Linked DNA regions of Stegostoma tigrinum. Each later gene encodes a partner of the first gene's protein in a complex. Links are inferred from orthologs where the notes say so. Each region holds a gene or a part of one and is shown in the gene's direction. Other genes may lie near its edges.

Region 1 (8,560 bases):
TTCCACCATCTGCTGTGGCAGGATTTGAACCCACTATCAACGATGCCAGTTATCATTTCAGCTCCCTCGGAACCCATCAATGATGCCAGTTAGATCTTTGACTATTCAAATCCCTAATTTGGATAATGATGCATACATGAATAAAGAGGGAATAATATAAAGTACAATAGCTATATGTGGGCTCTGAGGTAGTGGTAGCGTCTCTAACTCTGAGCCAGGAGGATGGAGTTCAAGTCTTGTCTCTCCAGAGGTATGTAATAACATCTCTGACAGGTTGATTAGGAGATATCTACAATAGCTAATTGTATTAAAGAGAATTTCACTTGTGCTTTATTAATTTTGAAGATTTCTCTTTCCAGTACTGTTTCTTGGCGTGAACCTGATATCAGCAGTTGAGGTGATGGCAGGTTGCGGTGATGGCAGGTTGCACGCTGTGATATCCTGTTATCTGTGGTGGTTTTGACCTGCATTCTCTGTCTGTCTACCTGGGTGTTCCACACGAGTACGAGGGGAAACATCATCAGCAAGACATGCAGAAAGTAATTGATGCCCCTTGCTGAGGGAATGAGACGAGGATGCTCCCCCTGGAGCAGTCCTGAGAGCAAGTTCCCAGCTCAGCTAGCCTGGGTTTGTCCTACATCTGGGCGCAGGAGCTCCCTCTCTCCCTGAGTGGAGGTCACACTGCACGTGGGGTTGGTTACTTGGCCTGGCTTTCCGTGGTGGTCACTCCCTCATGAAACAGTGCTCGGAGACTTGGCAGAACACCTGATAGGCACAGACATCTTCTTAGTCTGCACAAAGTTGTGTTTAACCATTGGTATTTCCATCATACGTTCTTCTCACCTTCGTTGCACGTCCTTTAGACCTAAGGCCGCAGCCAGAGACCCATCAACGGTGTGGCTTGGAATTGGGGTGAGGTCATTGCAGTATCTGGACCTCATTTGTCACGTGCTTCCTCATTTCTGTGCCATGCTTACCAAAATATGCCTCAATTCTAAATTCGACCCCTCTGTGACCTTGCTGGGTGGAGTATTGCTGGTGGAGGGCGCATCCTGTCGGTCACTGATGTCATTGTCCTAGGGGTGAAGTCTTCAGTCTCCAGTGACTAAGGTCCAGCTTCTGCACTGAAGGGCATCTGAGAAGGAGAACAAGTTCCACAGAGTCTGGGACCACTGCACAATTCCTCCAGTGGTGCTGAGCATCCATATGGCAATTTCATGCCTCATCACTCTTGACTTACTGTCAGCAATGAGCTGACTTAGCTGGTCCCTATCAGAATAGAAGGTTTCTTGCCCCATGCAGGGGTGAAGGTGTTCATTCTGGGCACTCTTCAGACCCCTTTGCCTTTCCCTTTTGATGAGGGGGTCCATTTATCCTACAAGAAAAAGTGGATGTTTAGTGGCTTGACAAATGCCAACTGACTGTCTTGTTATCTTCTTAACACAAACTGCCTGATGTGTTTATTTGAGATAGTTTGGCTTGAGTAAATATTTGGACCCTGGCCTCAAATGCTATCCAGTTGACATGCTCACCTGCTGGCCCTGCTGCTCACTCACACAAATACTGATGTCCACCCGAGCGATTATCCCGTGCCACTGAGACACTTACCTGGGTGGATTGAAGGAGGTCATCAACCCTAACCTAACAGCGCACTTGTGATCTTGAGTGGACCCCACAGTTGCTAGTCCCCTCTGCAAATGCTGTCCAAGCTATCTTGGATGGGCAGGAGGGCCTCCAGGAGACAACTTCCTACCTTTTCCAATTGTGTAGAGGAGAACCTGAAAGAAAGTGGAACAGGTCCTTGTCTTTGCTCCACATTTCAGGTTTTGGGACTGGAGCAGTGGTATAGCATTAACATAATCCAGAACCCTAGGGTAATGCTCTGGAGACAGGGGATTGAATTCCTCCATGACTGAAGCTGAATTCAACAACAGTATGGAAATATGAGCTGGCCTAATAAAAACCATGTAACCACTATTGACAAAACAGTATGAAGCTGAAGAAGGGTCCTGACCTGAAAAGTCAACTTTTCTGCTCCTCTAACGCTGCCTGGCCCACTGTGTTCCTGCAGCTTCACACTGTATTGTCTTGGACTCCAGCATCGGCAGTTCTTACTATCTCTAACCACTGTTGATTTTATTGTTTTTGACAGTCTGGCTCAGTTATTTCCTTTAGGGAAGGAAATCTGCCATCCTTTCCTGCTCTGGCCTATGTGTGATTCCATACCCACAACAACAGGGTTGATACTTAACTGTCCTCTGGGCAATTGGAGATGGTCAATAAATCCTGGCCTAGCTAGGAAAGTCCATGATTCCATGAATGAATTTTAAAAAAGACTTTTATGAAAGGTTTGGCAGGCCAGGTAGCATCAGAGGAGCAGGAAAATTGACGTTTTGGGTTGGGACCTTTCTTCCAAAACGTCAACTTTCCTGCTCCGCTCCACCAGCTCCACACTGTTATCTCTGACTCCAGCAGCAGTAGTTCCTACTAGCTCTTATGAAGGGTTTGGATATGATGGGTTGGTGTGAAAATGCCAGGACAGTAGATTCTAATGAGCTTAGCAAGAGGAAATAAGTTGGAGGTTGTCGACTTGCTCACCGACCTGGCTTGTTCTCATTCAGATGTCTTGTCACTATGCTAGGTGACATCATCAGTGGACTCTCAGATGAAGCAATGTTATTCTACTCTGCTTGGAATTTATACTTGGAATTTAGGACGCAGTATGCCCTAACCCACTGGCCACACTGCTATACATCAGGAACATGTCAGAACTGACAAGACTCCTAACACCACTAGGAACCATGGTGGCACATAGGCCCACAGCTACTCTACGACAAAAAATTACAAGAATTAAAGACGCCATTGCCACAACATGCAGAACCAACGTGGTTTACAAAATACCACACAACGACTGCCACAAATACTACATCAGACGGACAGGATGGAAACTTTCCATCAGAATATATGAACATCGACTAGCAGCAAAACGGCACAACAAACTCTCCTTGATATCGGTATACTCAGACAATGAAGGCCATCAGTTTGACTAGGATAAGGTAACCATAATAGCTCAAGCCAAACATAGACACACATGGGAATTCCTAGAGTCATGGTTTTCCATCTGCAATGCAGTCAACGAACACACAGAATTGGACCCCACATACAAACCCATACAGATCAAAACCAGAAATGACTGTACTCACCATAACAGACCAGACAGTATAAATTCCAAGTGGAGTAGAATAACACCGCTTTATTGGAGGCCTCACTGATGATGTCAGCTAGCATGGTGACGAAACATCTGAACGAGAACAAGCCAGCTCGGCAAGTTAGTCAGCAACTTCATCCATAACCCAAGCTACAAATCTTTGCCAACACTTTGAAGTAATAAATTTGGGAACGGGTGGTGTTGTCACGAATTGCAAAGACAAATTCGCCAAAGTTCAAAATGAACAGAGGTGACCGTGGAACCTATGTTTGTGAGGCAGAGTGTCTCTGCTCCCGCACAGACCTGAACTGTGACCTGATGATGCATTATCCCATGGCGGCCTGCCCTCACCATGTTTTTGCATGTGTTTCCCATGCCTGCCCAGGCCCTTTAAATTCTCACTTCAGTCACGCACGTATTACCCAACTCCCAATATTAATTTCTCTGCCTTCACGTGTTGCTAGTTAAATTACCCCTGCTGCATTGGTTAAGCAGCTGTTAAGTGTTTGCTAGTAAGGGAACTGTGTTAATTATTGAGTTAAGGAGACAGGGCAAATAGGGAAAGACACTCATAAAAGAATTGAGAATGAGAGGCCACAGATTTAAAGTAGTTCTTAAGAGAGCAAACGTGACAGGGAAAAACCCATAAATGGTTGGGCTCAGGAACACACAATCCAACTGTGTGGTAGCAGCAGGTTTGTTTGAGATATTGAAAAGGGGATTAGACTGTCTTTTGAAAAGGAAGACCACAGACTTAAGAGGAAATAACAGTAGAATTGTGCAAAATTAAATACTCGTGGTGGGCTGGTGCAGACATGATTAGTTGAATGGCCGCCTCCTCCTGTGGCAACAGTTCTGTGCAATCTGGACCTTTATCCTAATATACAAGTTTAGTGAGAAACTGACAGATCCTTTCGTGAGAAGGAGATGCCAGAATCTACTATACCTCAGAGTGTAAGTGAGTTGGCTGTTTACATGAGTTGTTCTTGTCTGGAAATGCAGTGTCCCCAAGGAGCAGCTGAATGCAGATTCAACAGGAACTTTCCATTGGAGACTGGGTGAAGAGCAGGGGGCTTGGAGTTAATTAGATTACACAGTAAGAGCACAGGATGAACAGATGAAATGGCCTCCACTTCTGACGGAGGGAGAGGTGTAATGAAAAGGTTGCAAAGAAGAGAGACCTCAGTGTGCAGGTACATAATTTCTTGAAAGTAGCATCACGGGTGTGCAGGGTAGTAGGCATTTGGTATGCTTGCCTTCATCGGTCAGAGCGTTGAGTACAGGAGTTGGGATGTCATGTTACAGCTGTACGAGGCATTGGTAGGGCCACATCTAGAATACTGCATACAATTCTGATTGCCCTGCTATAGGAAGAATTTTATCAAACTCAGAAGGGTGCGAAAAAGATTTACAAGGTTGTTACCAAGTCCTGAGGCTTTGAGTTATAAGGAGAGGCTGGGACTGTTTTCCCTGGAGCATCACAGGCTCAGGGGTGACCTTTAGAGAGGTTTGTAAAATCATGAGGTGAATAGCCAAGAGATAATGGGAACTGCGGATGCTGGAGAATCCGAGATAACAAAGTGTGAAGCTGGATGAACACAGCAGGCCAAGCAGCATCTTAGCAGCAGGAAAGCTGACGCTTCGGGCCTAACGTTAGCTTTTGTGCTCCTAAGATGCTGCTTGGCCTGCTGTGTTCATCCAGCACCACACTTTGTTATCTAGGTGAATAGCCAAGGTCTTTTCCTAAGGGCAGGGCAGTTCAAAACTAGAGGCATTGGTTTAAGGTGAGAGGAGAAAGATTTAAAAGGAAAAGGGGAACTTTTTCTCAGAGGGTAGCGCGTGTACAAAATGAGCCGCCAGAGGAAGCGGTAAAGATGGGCACCATAACATTTAAAAAGACAATTTGCATGATTAGGAAAGGTTTAGAGGGATATGGGTCAAATGCAGGGAAATGGGATTAGTTTAGTTTATGAAACTTGGTCAACATGGAGAAGTGGGCCGAAGGGTCTGTTTCCGTGCAATCTGATTCTGAGAAACGGGCAGCGCTTGTGGTTCTCCTGAGGCCCGGACAGGGCTGGGGAGCTGTAGCCGGCCGTGAACGCTCCGAGCCCGGCAGGGAGGCGGGGAAATCCCCTCCCCCGGTTCGCATTCCAAAACTGCCTCCTTCGAGCTCCACGTCGCTGCTACAAAGGACCAATCACCAGCAGCCACACTCCGGCTTGGCATTACGGACACTCCGCCCCCACCCTACAGCCCCAGTACAATGGGAAAACAAACTCAGAAAGCAGGGGGCGAGGAGACAAGTCACAGTGAGTCTATAAACTGCTGAGCGGGAGGGATTAGCAGCGCTCGGTGTAACCCGCTTGTCTTGTACCAGTTCCTGCTCTACCCTTACTCAACACTCGCGGCGCTGAAGAAGCGGTTCCGATTATAAACCTCGCACAAAATCCAGAGGAGCGAAAAAAAACCCCTAAACTCCAAAGAAGCAGCGGGTATGGGGGCTCATGTGGAAATGGTGCCTCTGCTCATTAAAGCGCCGAACCAAAAGTACGAAGATCAGAAAGTCGAGGCGGATCCAGGCTGGACGGTGAAGAATCTGAAATCCTATCTGAGAGAGAACTATCCGAGTCACCCAGTAAGTCACTCCGGGTGGGGAGCGCTTGAGGGTGGAGTGAACCTAAAACAACAAAACGCTGGAGATCACAGCGAGTTGTATTTAGCAGTCTGGTAGATTTTATTTTTAAAGCTTTCATAGCCGCTCAGGAACGAGACACATTGTTGGTGTGGAACTCGAGGGCTCCTTTCAGGGACCCTTCGCTTAAAGTTTTTTTTAAGAAATTTTCTTGCCCCTCCCGAGACTTCCGGCTCCTACTTGTGGATCTGCCTGGCCCGTCGATCTTTGACAAGTGAGGCAGAACAGATCCGTCCTCGGCAAGACCCGAGAAATTCTCATCAGGGCTAGGCAGCAAGTGAGAAACATTTTAGCAGAGCTGGGCAATCCTGTTGTACACTGCACAGTAAAGTTGTAAGCTGCCCTACTGTTCGACTTCTCATTTTAGTAGGTAGAAGGGTGGGAGTGTGAGTATTAACATTGCATTTTAAGTGTTAACTTGGATTTTACAGCTTCTCTACATTGAAGTGTTTGTCATTAAAATCCTTTTTGTTTTTCTTCCAATGGACTATAGATGCTAAAATTATCACACTACCAGAAACTATCCAACCTGCCTTTATTTTAAATTGTTCCTCGCCAATATGTATAACCCATGCTCTGAGCCCTGCTTGAAAGGAGTACTAAGCCGGAAGCTTATTAGGTTCAGAGTGGATCGCAAAGTTTGACTCGAATGTGACTTATGAGGGTGTGGAAACTCTTCACAGTCTGGCAGAACGATCTAAAAACACAAGAAGTTTACCAATTCCAGCTACACTGTTGTTTCGGCTCCATTATATTTGCCTCCCAATGTTCAGTTCGCTGAACCTACAGGATTCTAAAATGGCTCGGAAACATATTTCCCTAATGTGGCCTCTAACTCTTTAAATGAGTTAAAAGTGTTAATTTATGCACAGCCATCGATATTTTTCCCTCTGATTGTAAATTAGTTTCTGTGATAATTTAATTAAAACAACGAGCAGACGAATCACAGTCTTGGCAAGATCTCAGACTTAATTCCCCATCTATGTGCATCCCAGCAAGGAGACAGGAGAGAGTGTTCAATCTGGGTGAGGGAATTTCTCCTTATTGATTATGGGATATGGGTGTTGCTGGCTGGACCAACACTTATTACCCATACCTAGTAGCCCTTGAAAAAGTGAGTTTCATATCAAGGAAGCAAATATAACATTGGGGTTTGATTCTATCCAAAAACCTAAAGACCTCTCTTAAACATACAATATATTTTCTTACATGTGAGACACTAGCAGGGTCCGATTGCTGATGGTGAACTATGTAGGACTGCTGTTAGGAAGGGAACTCCAGGACTTTGACCTATAGGTGATGTGTTTTCAAGTAGGATGGTGAATAACTTGGAGGACGTGTCCGGTCAAGTTTACGTTCTGTTTCTTGTGGTTTCCCCTCCTGAAAGTCACGTGTGATCTTCAAATTGACGACAGAACGGTTGCAATGTCCACGTAATTCAGCAACAACTACACACAACAGAGGAGGAAAGCTAGTGGCCTAATGTTATTGTTGGACTGTGTATGTGGAGACGTCGGTTCGAATCCTGCTGCAGCAGATGGCATTTGAAATCAATTTTAAAAAAAAAATCCCTAGAATTAAGAGTGTAATGATGACCGTGGATTCCAGATCTACACAAATTACCCCTTGGCCAATTAGGAATGGTCTCGGCGGCCAAGCCCTCATCCCTTGAATGAATCAAAATATTAGGTGAGGTACTGGAAGGCTGTAGGAGTTGACTAGCCATGAACAGAAGCCTAATTAAAATACCGCTGATATATTGCAGAAAAGTGCCACAGTATTATGACAATAATGTATCTGCTGCTACACACCTGAAAAGGTGGCATTGCATAATATAATAGTGAGTCTGCCCAGCTGTTTCAAGAATATTGCCACTCTTAAAACTTTACATTGTCAATGACCATTTCAACTCTTATCCCAGGTCTGATTAAAATATGAAATACTGATTTTAAAGTTGACAGATTATAGCAATTTGGAGAGAAATGCTTTTACCTTAAGGTGACGTGGTGATTTGTCAGCCAGTGAACAGCATGTGCTTGGCTGATGAGAGCTAGGGACTTTTCACACAGGTTTCACATCCTGGGATCAAAGGGAATGAAATGTCTCATCTGTTGACACTCATAGTGTAAAAGTGAAAACCTAAAATTTCCTGTTATGCTGTTGCTGACTTCTCTATCAAACTGAGAAAGAAAAAGAAATTAGTCCTTTTTCGTTCTAAAACAATACATGCAGCTTTGAAAGTTCTTTCAGATATGTAACCACTAGTAGCTCATACTAATATCATAGAGATGGAGAAACAACCCAGGCTGTGGGAGGACAGTGTCTATAATTGGGTGTTTTCTTTCATTGCCAGTGACTGGACATAATGGGAAGGTTTTCCATGCTCAGCATGTCACTTTCCACTTCCCTGAGTAATTATCCCCCTGTGGAATGATCCAATGTTCAGAATTATTTATGCCCTCACTCGCAAGATAAACATTTAAATTGAACTGATGGATGCACCCTAACACCTACTGCGATGGCCCTTTTAAAACACTCTCATTTCTACAAGACAAATATTGAGTAATCCCCACTGCCTGCTGACTGAAAACTGCTGATGTAAATGAGTAGCTGAGGTACAAACAACATGTTTGTTAATAAATCACTTGATATTTGGAATG
Region 2 (8,148 bases), on another chromosome or scaffold:
ACAATATTCCGAATGCAGCCTAACTAAGGTTCTTTAAGACTGCAACATTACTTGCCAATTTTTAAACTCATTGCCCCAGCCAATGAAGGCAAGCACGCCATATGACTTGTTGACTACCTTTTCCAACTACGTTGCCACTTTCAGTGACCTATGTCCCTGTATACCCAGACCCCTCTGCCTATCAGTACTCTTAAGGGTTCTGCCATTTACTGTGTATTTTCCATCTGGATTAGACCTTCCAAAATGCATTAGCTCACAATTTGCCGGATTTAACTCCACCTGCAATCTCTCTGCCAAAGTCACCAACTGATCTATATCCTGCTGTATCCTTTGACGTTCCTCATCGTTATCCGCAATTCCACCAACCTTTGTATCATCGGCAAACTTACTAATCAGACCAGTTACATTCTCATCCAAATCATTTATATGTATTACAAATAGCAAAATTCCCAACACTGATCCCTGAAGAACATGACTAGTCACAGCCCTCCATTCAAAAATGCACCTTTCCACTGCTATCCTCTGTCTTCTATGACTCAGCCAGTTTTTTTATCCATCTTGCAGGCTCACCTCTGACCCCATGCGACTTAACCTTCTGTATCAGCCTGCCATGAGGGACCTTGTCAAAGGCCTTACTGAAATTCATGTAGACACCATTCACTGCCCTACCCTCATTGATCATCTTCATCACTTCCTCAAAAAACTCAACCAAGTTAGTGAGACACGACTTCCCCTTCACAAAAACCATGTTGCCTCTCACTAATACATCCATTGATTTCCAGTTGGGAGTAAATCCTGTCTCGAAGAACCCTTTCCAATAATTTCCCTACCAGTGATGTAATAATGAAATAATAATGACAGAAATTCTACCATAACTCCACCTAAATGCATGTTTTCCTCATGTGCGTTCGTTTGAGGTATATTTGAGTTTTGTTGCCACGTTTGATAATAAATTTAACTAACTGATATTGACTTAGTAGTTCTGCAACTTGTTTTCAGCTTGGAACAGCAAAACATAGAGAAGCGTATGTTCTTCCAGCTATGGGTACAGTTGTTCACTTCTCTACCTAGTAATGCTTCTTTGTACTCCACTAATAATTTTCTCTTTCTCCACTTTTTCCCTCTGCCATTTGTCTCATTCTCATCCAATTCAACTTTTCTTTGATGTTTTCTCTCTGCTGAAAATTTTCATGCTTCCCATGATTTACATTTTTTTGCAACTAGAACAATGGTCCATGCTTCCTCGGTTTTGACAACAGATCACTGCCTGCAGGTATTTTGTTTTCACTTCTGACTTTTTCATACGTGAACTGGAGTTGTGAATTTCTGTGTAACGGTAAGGATCTTTCAGTTAAGTTTCTGTGTTTCTGTTCCACTGCTTCTCAGGCTTTTTTACAATTATCTGTACTAGTTTCCACTTTTAACATTCATCTTTGAGATTCTCTCCTTACATTTTTAATTGATGTATTTTTCTTTCCATTTGAATCATGACTAATTTTTCATTTTATCATTTTGCTGTGCTGAATTTCAATTTTGAATTTGTGATTTCTCAGTCATTTGTACTAGATGTCCACAGCTTATTTCTGCACGCCTTATCTTTCCCTCTCTCTGCTTCCTCTACCACTTCCATAAAGCTTTTTGTAAACCATTTCAGGAGGATAAAGGTAATGTTTTTCCCCTACTAGTCTGTAAACTACATATATTTCAAATCAGAAAAGATCTGAAACAAATTTGGTAAACAGATGAGCACCAAGAAAGAACTAAAACGTTCTAGGTGAAGTTGCAAATTTGGATCCTAGACATTTTTTATAGGATCCATCTGTTAATATTGTGTGATACAGTAAATTTGTATTTTATTTTAGAGTGTTTTGGGTTGTTGTTTAAAATATGGTTCATTGTACCACTGAGAAATCCACAATATTTTAAAACAATTTGTTACAGATGTCAAATGTGAGCAAAGTTTTCAGAGCAGATTGTTGGATATGGATTAGCCTGTAGCCTCCTCATTATGATAGATCTTAATGAAAAGAAATAGCTTTGTAATTACACAGCATCAACCAGTCAAGGAAATCACTCAAAGAACTGTGTACAGTTGATAACATAGAGTAAACAAAGCATGGTGTACATACATACACAACTAAATACAACCTGCCTTTGTCTACATTGTTTTTCCCCAATGGTGTTTCTGCCTCGTAGGTAAGAAGAATGCCCAGTCACATTTATTTCATTGTAACACCTTTGTTAAATGGTGCACCATTGTCATTTTTTGCAGCGTTTTATAGGACACCATCTTTTGACCTTACAAGACTGTACTTGACTGAGACTGTACTTGACTGAGACTGACACCTAAAATATTATTGGTGGAAATTACTTTTATTTATAATTACAGATAAAATATCAGTTGAATATTAAAGAAGTCGCAGTTGGTGTTCAGGCAAAATAAAACACTAAGCTTTAGAATTGTCATTTTTAAAATGTATTCTTTCCTAGGATGTGGGCATCACTAGCAAAGCTGCCCATTCAAAATTGCCCTTGAATTGAGTGGCCTGCTAGGCCATTTCAGAGGGTAGATTTAACACATTTCTGTGAGTTTGGAGTCACAGAGATCTATCTCTAGATCTTTTAGATGATTATTTATAGTTTCATGGTCACCATTACTGGGGCTAACTTTCAGTACCAGACATATTAATTGAATTTAAATTCCACTAGTTACCATGATCCTAAAACATTAAACTGGGCCTCTGGATTGCTAGTGATAATAGCACTAAGGTACTGTTTCCTCCTAGCCAGTGATAAGAATTAAATTCTCTCAGTGATAAGAATTAAATTTGCTGAACATATTCTACATATCAGTTGTCACAATGTTCCTCTTTTAATAAGTAAACACAAAGGGTGCTGAAAGTTATTAGTGTAAGGCAAATAAATAAATGGGACTAAGTATCTGCAAATATAATCTAAAAATCTCAAGAAGTTTTATTACCTATAATTTTGTTGTTTTCTGGACACATATCTTAAAGAACAAGTTATTGTTAATGATATTACCTCCCAAAAAAACCATAAATCCATGGCTGTTACAACTTATCTATTTGCCCTCATACTGAATTAAGCAAATCTAGCTGGTTACCTTGACTGTATCTTCAGCATCCAAGCAGTTCATTTTACAATTATATGCATTTTTAAAATTCATTAATGGAATGTATTGCTGGCCCAGGAAGGTCATTGATGGATGGCTGTTTATTGCCCATTCCTAATCGCCTAGAGAAGGTGATGGTAAGTTGTCTTCTTGAACCACTGCAACACCTCAGTGTTATTTGGAACAGAGTTCCAGGATTTTAACATGACGACAATGCAGGAACAGTGGCACTACTCTGAGGAATTCCTGCAGTGATGTACTAGGGCTGAGATGAGCTACAACCATTTCTTCTGTGTGTTCGGCAGTGAACTTGAAGGTCGTGGACAGGGTACAAATTAAGCAGGCTGCTTCAACCTGGATGGTGTCAGGTTTCCTCAGTGTCGTTGAAGCAGCATCCATCCAGACAAATGGAGAGTATGCCAAGACACTGAGCCTTGTAGATCATGGACAGGCACTGCAAGACAGCAAGTGAGTTATTCACCACTTAGGTCATAGCCCTTGGCTTTTTTTTTGTTGCCATAATATTTATGTAGCTAGTCCAGTTTCTGTCCAGTGGAAACTCCCAAAATGTTAAAAGAGAGGGATCCAGCGATGGTAATGTCATTGAACGTTAAACGGCCTGGTTCTTGTTGCAGGTGGCCATTGGTTGGTATTTGTGTGGTGTGAATGTTATTTGCCACTTATTAGCCAAGTCCAAGGAAAATGTGCAATCACCAGCAAACATCCTCACTTCTGGCCTCGTAATGAGGCTGAGATGATACACTTCCAACAGCCACAACTATTTTTCTTTTGGCTAGGGATGCAGTAAATTCTGGAGAACAAGTCATCAGTACTACTTTTGAGTGCTGTCAGAACTCAAGGCCTTGGCAGTCTCCAGTCTCCTTCCGCTGTTTCGAGCTACCCCGCCAAGTGAATCGAGAATTGGTTGGAAACTGCGAAGCTGGAGAACTCAACAGGAGGTCGCGATGTATGATCGACTTGGCACTTCAAAAGTGGAGCAATCGTGTAAACAATCTTAGTAAGTCAACAGTTAGCAAATAATATTCTCGTTGGTTCAGGCTGCAAGATTCCCAGAACATCCTTCACACAACCTGGAATGAAGCTCGCTCACATCTAGACCAATATTTGACCTAAATGTCCTTGTTCAATTTTTTTGCTTTCCTAAACAAAATTGACTTTTGTCCGGCTAAAGAGAGTGCTGAATCAAGGGTAACACTACCAAAACTACAAGCGTCACTCATTACTACTGTCACCCTTTATTTCGCATTTACAAAATGCTACCTGTTTTTAGTTTGATGAGTGTGCGCGGGTACTAAATGCAGTCCCATAAATTCGGTTCATATCGAGACCTGGCTGTGAGGTTGAGGGACGAGGTTTAACTGATTTAACTGCAGCCGCCCGCCGGGAAACTGGAGGGTGGGTACCTTTGTCGCGCCTGCGCCGGAACCACTGTTTAACGCCACGTCACAAAAGGTCAAGTCTCCGCTCGCGCTGGAGGGTTTCGGCATTAGCCTGTTCAAAGCCGGCGCGTGTGGTCTGATAACGCATTGTCCTCGAGCCCTGGGGTCTTGGGACGGGGTCGTGTGACGGCGCTGCTGTGTCCGCGAGCCCCGGTGGGTGGAGTCAGAGTGTTTGTGACTTCCCGCTGTGTCCGCGATCTCCTGAAGCGGCAGCGCTGCCAGAAACTGACAACATGGAGGGCCAGTACAACCTGAGGAATCCGGGTGAGTGAAACGTTCTCCCTTCCTCAACCGGCTCCCCCGTCCTTTCTCCCGTTTCGTGCCTTCTGTGAGTGTGTGTTGTGTATGAGTGGTCGCCTAGTTCCGGCCCTCTCCCGGCCTGTCGTACCCTACACAACTGCTGCTGTCCTGTTGCAGGCCTGTCGCTTTCTGCCCCGGTGTGTTGAAGGCCGTAGTTGTGCCTCGCTCCCTGAGATGCCTTCAGAATCCACTTGCTGCTACTCGGTGTTTCGCTGGGCTGGGCTGGGCTGGGCTGGACTGGGCAAGACACAACACTGAACTTGTTTCGAGACAATAAAATGTGAGGCTGGATGAACACAGCAGGCCCAGCAGCATCTCAGGAGCACAAAAGCTGACGTTTCGGGCCTAGACCCTTCATCAGTGATCTGAACTTGTTTCGGGTGGCTTTAAACATCAGTCGTCGAATCCCTTTTTGTCCTGTTACAACCTTCCAGTAGACAGAAGGATGGTGCACAGCTCAACCTCTGCCACCTCTCTTAGTCTTAATCCACCTAGGAGTTGTTTAGTTGGACTGCTGGTCAGCCTCTGAGGAGGATTTCTTTTAACACTCTTCTTCCCCCCCATGTAAATATTGGGAAAACCTCAACTGTGGTTGTTGGGCTCCTTGGAGCCACTTGCCACCAGTTCCATTCTCCTCTAGAAATGTCACTGGTTAAAGCAGATAGTTTTTATCCCATTGCCATCTAGCAGAAAGATCACCTGTTTCTACTTCTAGAATTATTTGCTCAATTCCTCTGCTGTTTCACTTGCATGTGCCCACACAACCAGGGTCAGCTGTTTCAATATTGGAATCTAATTTATTGTCACTGACCTCCAATGTTAACATAACCTAATCTGTAAGCACTACTTGACCTGCTCAGTGTTTTCAGCACTTTGTTTACTTTTAATTTCTGGCATGGCAGTATTTTACTTAGTACTGTTCTGGCTGATATTTCATCCTTCATTCCTGTCAGTATCAGCATTAAAGCTTCTGCTTCCCTTGCATGTTCCATACAAAGTCTGATTTGCACATTAGGCATATTCTTGTCTGTTTTGGAAATTTGTGACTGCGTATGGCTTCCGATGAATGTCTCTAAATTTGCTTTTAGAGAACGATAGAAATCGTCCAAAATAAATCCAGTTTTTTTAGCTATTGATCTGTTGGAGTATGAAATGTACTAGATCCCTACAGTTATTTGCAATGTACCTGGAATTACCATGGGTATTTGGGTTTGGGCCACAAATATTGATCTTGCATTTTTCTGAAGGAGAGTCCCGACCCCGAAACGTCAAGCTTTCCTTCTCCTCTGCTGCTTGGCCTGCTGTGTTCATCCACCTTTATGCCGTGTTGTCTCTTGATCTTGCAAGTGATGCCCACACCCCATGTAACCAAAAATTGATCTTAAAATTGAAGTATGAGAACATTAGTGAAAGGTTTGTTTTCTGATACTGCCTCCATTGCCAGTTAGATGGCAGATGAGAGTTATGTGGCCTTGATGTGTGCTTTGGTCATTCTTGTTAAAGTTAGGTTTTAGAGGAATTCATATGGAGTGTGTGCTATTTCTTAATACCTTTTTTGAGCACTATTATTAAGCTGTATGACCTGAACAGTTATGATTTATTAATTCTGGATCCTAATAATTGTGTTTTTGATGGCCGCTGGAGGTTAGATGTAAGAATACTGGCCTGCTTGAACTTGCTTTTGACCACATGTGGGTTGAATTTGAGACAATGAATTCCCTCGGAAAAGGATTGATCAAAAGGGATGGTTGTTCAAGCCAGGCATTTTCTGTGTGTTGGCATGAGCAGAGGGATGGTGGCAGTGAAGGGTTGTCAACTTTACGGTTAGCCATAAGTTACAGCAGCTTTTGACTTTTCGGACCTTTTCTGGCCAGCAAATCAGGTAAGCCAATCAAAGCCTTCCCAAATCTTTGACTCAAAGTTTTTATTAAGGGTTCTAGACGCTGGCTAGTTGTCCATCAGATGTTTCAGCTCCGACCATCTGAGGCTGTCTTCTGGCCTGAACTACTTGTTGATATTAGTGGACGTGTCCAAATTGAGTCTTTTGCCAGTTAGTTTCCTTTTTAAGGTATAATATCTTTAAGATATAAGATCCTTTTAATTTTGTTCAAAAAAGTGAATAAGAAGTTATCCTTTTTCACATAATGATTCTCAGTTTATAAACTTTGCTATTATACAACTTAAAATACTTCATTTTCTTTAAGGAAAGAAGCTCATGCCAAAATGAATGCAAAGTTTATAAACTCTTGAGATTGGTGATAGGAATTCTGACAATTCAAACAAAATGGGCACGTTATAGAACAGTGTACTTGAGACTGGAGCATACAACATTTTAAGGTTTATATGCCTTCAAAATAGAGGGGAGTGTTCAGTAGTCAGTATAAATTATTTTGTAGTAATTTCTTAAAAATAAATTGCACTGTATTTGTATCTTAGTGTTGTTTCAGTGGCAATAACTTAAACAGCTGTATAAGAAATCAAAACTGAGTCAAATTTTACAATAGATTTACCTGGGTTAGGATAAGTTTTTAGCAAAAAGGAAGTGTACTATATGTGATTCTTAAAATATATCAGAGAAACCGCAAAAAGTTGTAACACAAAGCAACTTGGGGTGTACTTGTGCATGCAAGCGAAGCAGGAAATCAGGGAAGCTAATGGAATGTTGGCCCTTATTTCAAAGTGGTATGGAGTACAAGTAGGGAAGCCTTGTTACACCTGTACACGGTGCTGGTCACACCACGTCTGGAGTATTGTAAGCACTTTTGTTCCTTTTAACAAGGGGACCAATATTATTTCATTGGAAGCAATTCACTAGGACGATCCCTGGTATGGAGGGATTGTCTTGAGCAAAGATTAAACAGGCTGGGACTTTACTTGCAAGAGTTGATGAGACATGCACCAGTAGGTTCAGGAATGGCTTCTTCCCAGCTGTTATTGAACTGATGAATGGATGCTGTAGTCCCAAATAATGCTGATCTTGCCAAAATTGATCTCATCTATTGCACGCCCTGTGCAATATAACCTGTATGCCTAAGTTATTTACAACCTTGATTTGTGCATCCTTGCATACTATGATCTGCCTGTATTGCTCGTGAACAAAGCTTCTCACTGTACTCTGGCATGGCACATGTGACAATAAATCAATCAATCTCATCAAAGCATACAGGATTGAGGGGCTTGACAGGCAAAATGCTGAGAGGATGTTTCCCCTTGTGGGAGAGTCTAGAGCCAGAAGCCATTGTCTCAGACTTCAGT

The links.
Region 2: herpud1 (region 1) and ube2j1 share a complex: the UniProt entries of both Homo sapiens proteins name them as parts of the HRD1 complex. The link is inferred for Stegostoma tigrinum from reciprocal best matches to the Homo sapiens genes HERPUD1 and UBE2J1.

Annotation. Positions count from the first base shown.
Region 1 is NC_081369.1:15,385,309-15,393,868, forward strand, and holds the start of herpud1 (homocysteine-responsive endoplasmic reticulum-resident ubiquitin-like domain member 1 protein), read left to right. Parts: upstream 1-5,461; 5' UTR 5,462-5,702; coding exon 5,703-5,843; intron 5,844-8,560. UniProt on the Homo sapiens protein: Component of the endoplasmic reticulum quality control (ERQC) system also called ER-associated degradation (ERAD) involved in ubiquitin-dependent degradation of misfolded endoplasmic reticulum proteins.
Region 2 is NC_081357.1:40,759,411-40,767,558, reverse strand, and holds the start of ube2j1 (ubiquitin-conjugating enzyme E2 J1), read left to right. Parts: upstream 1-4,582; 5' UTR 4,583-4,826; coding exon 4,827-4,857; intron 4,858-8,148. UniProt on the Homo sapiens protein: Catalyzes the covalent attachment of ubiquitin to other proteins. Functions in the selective degradation of misfolded membrane proteins from the endoplasmic reticulum (ERAD) and is essential for cells to recover from ER stress.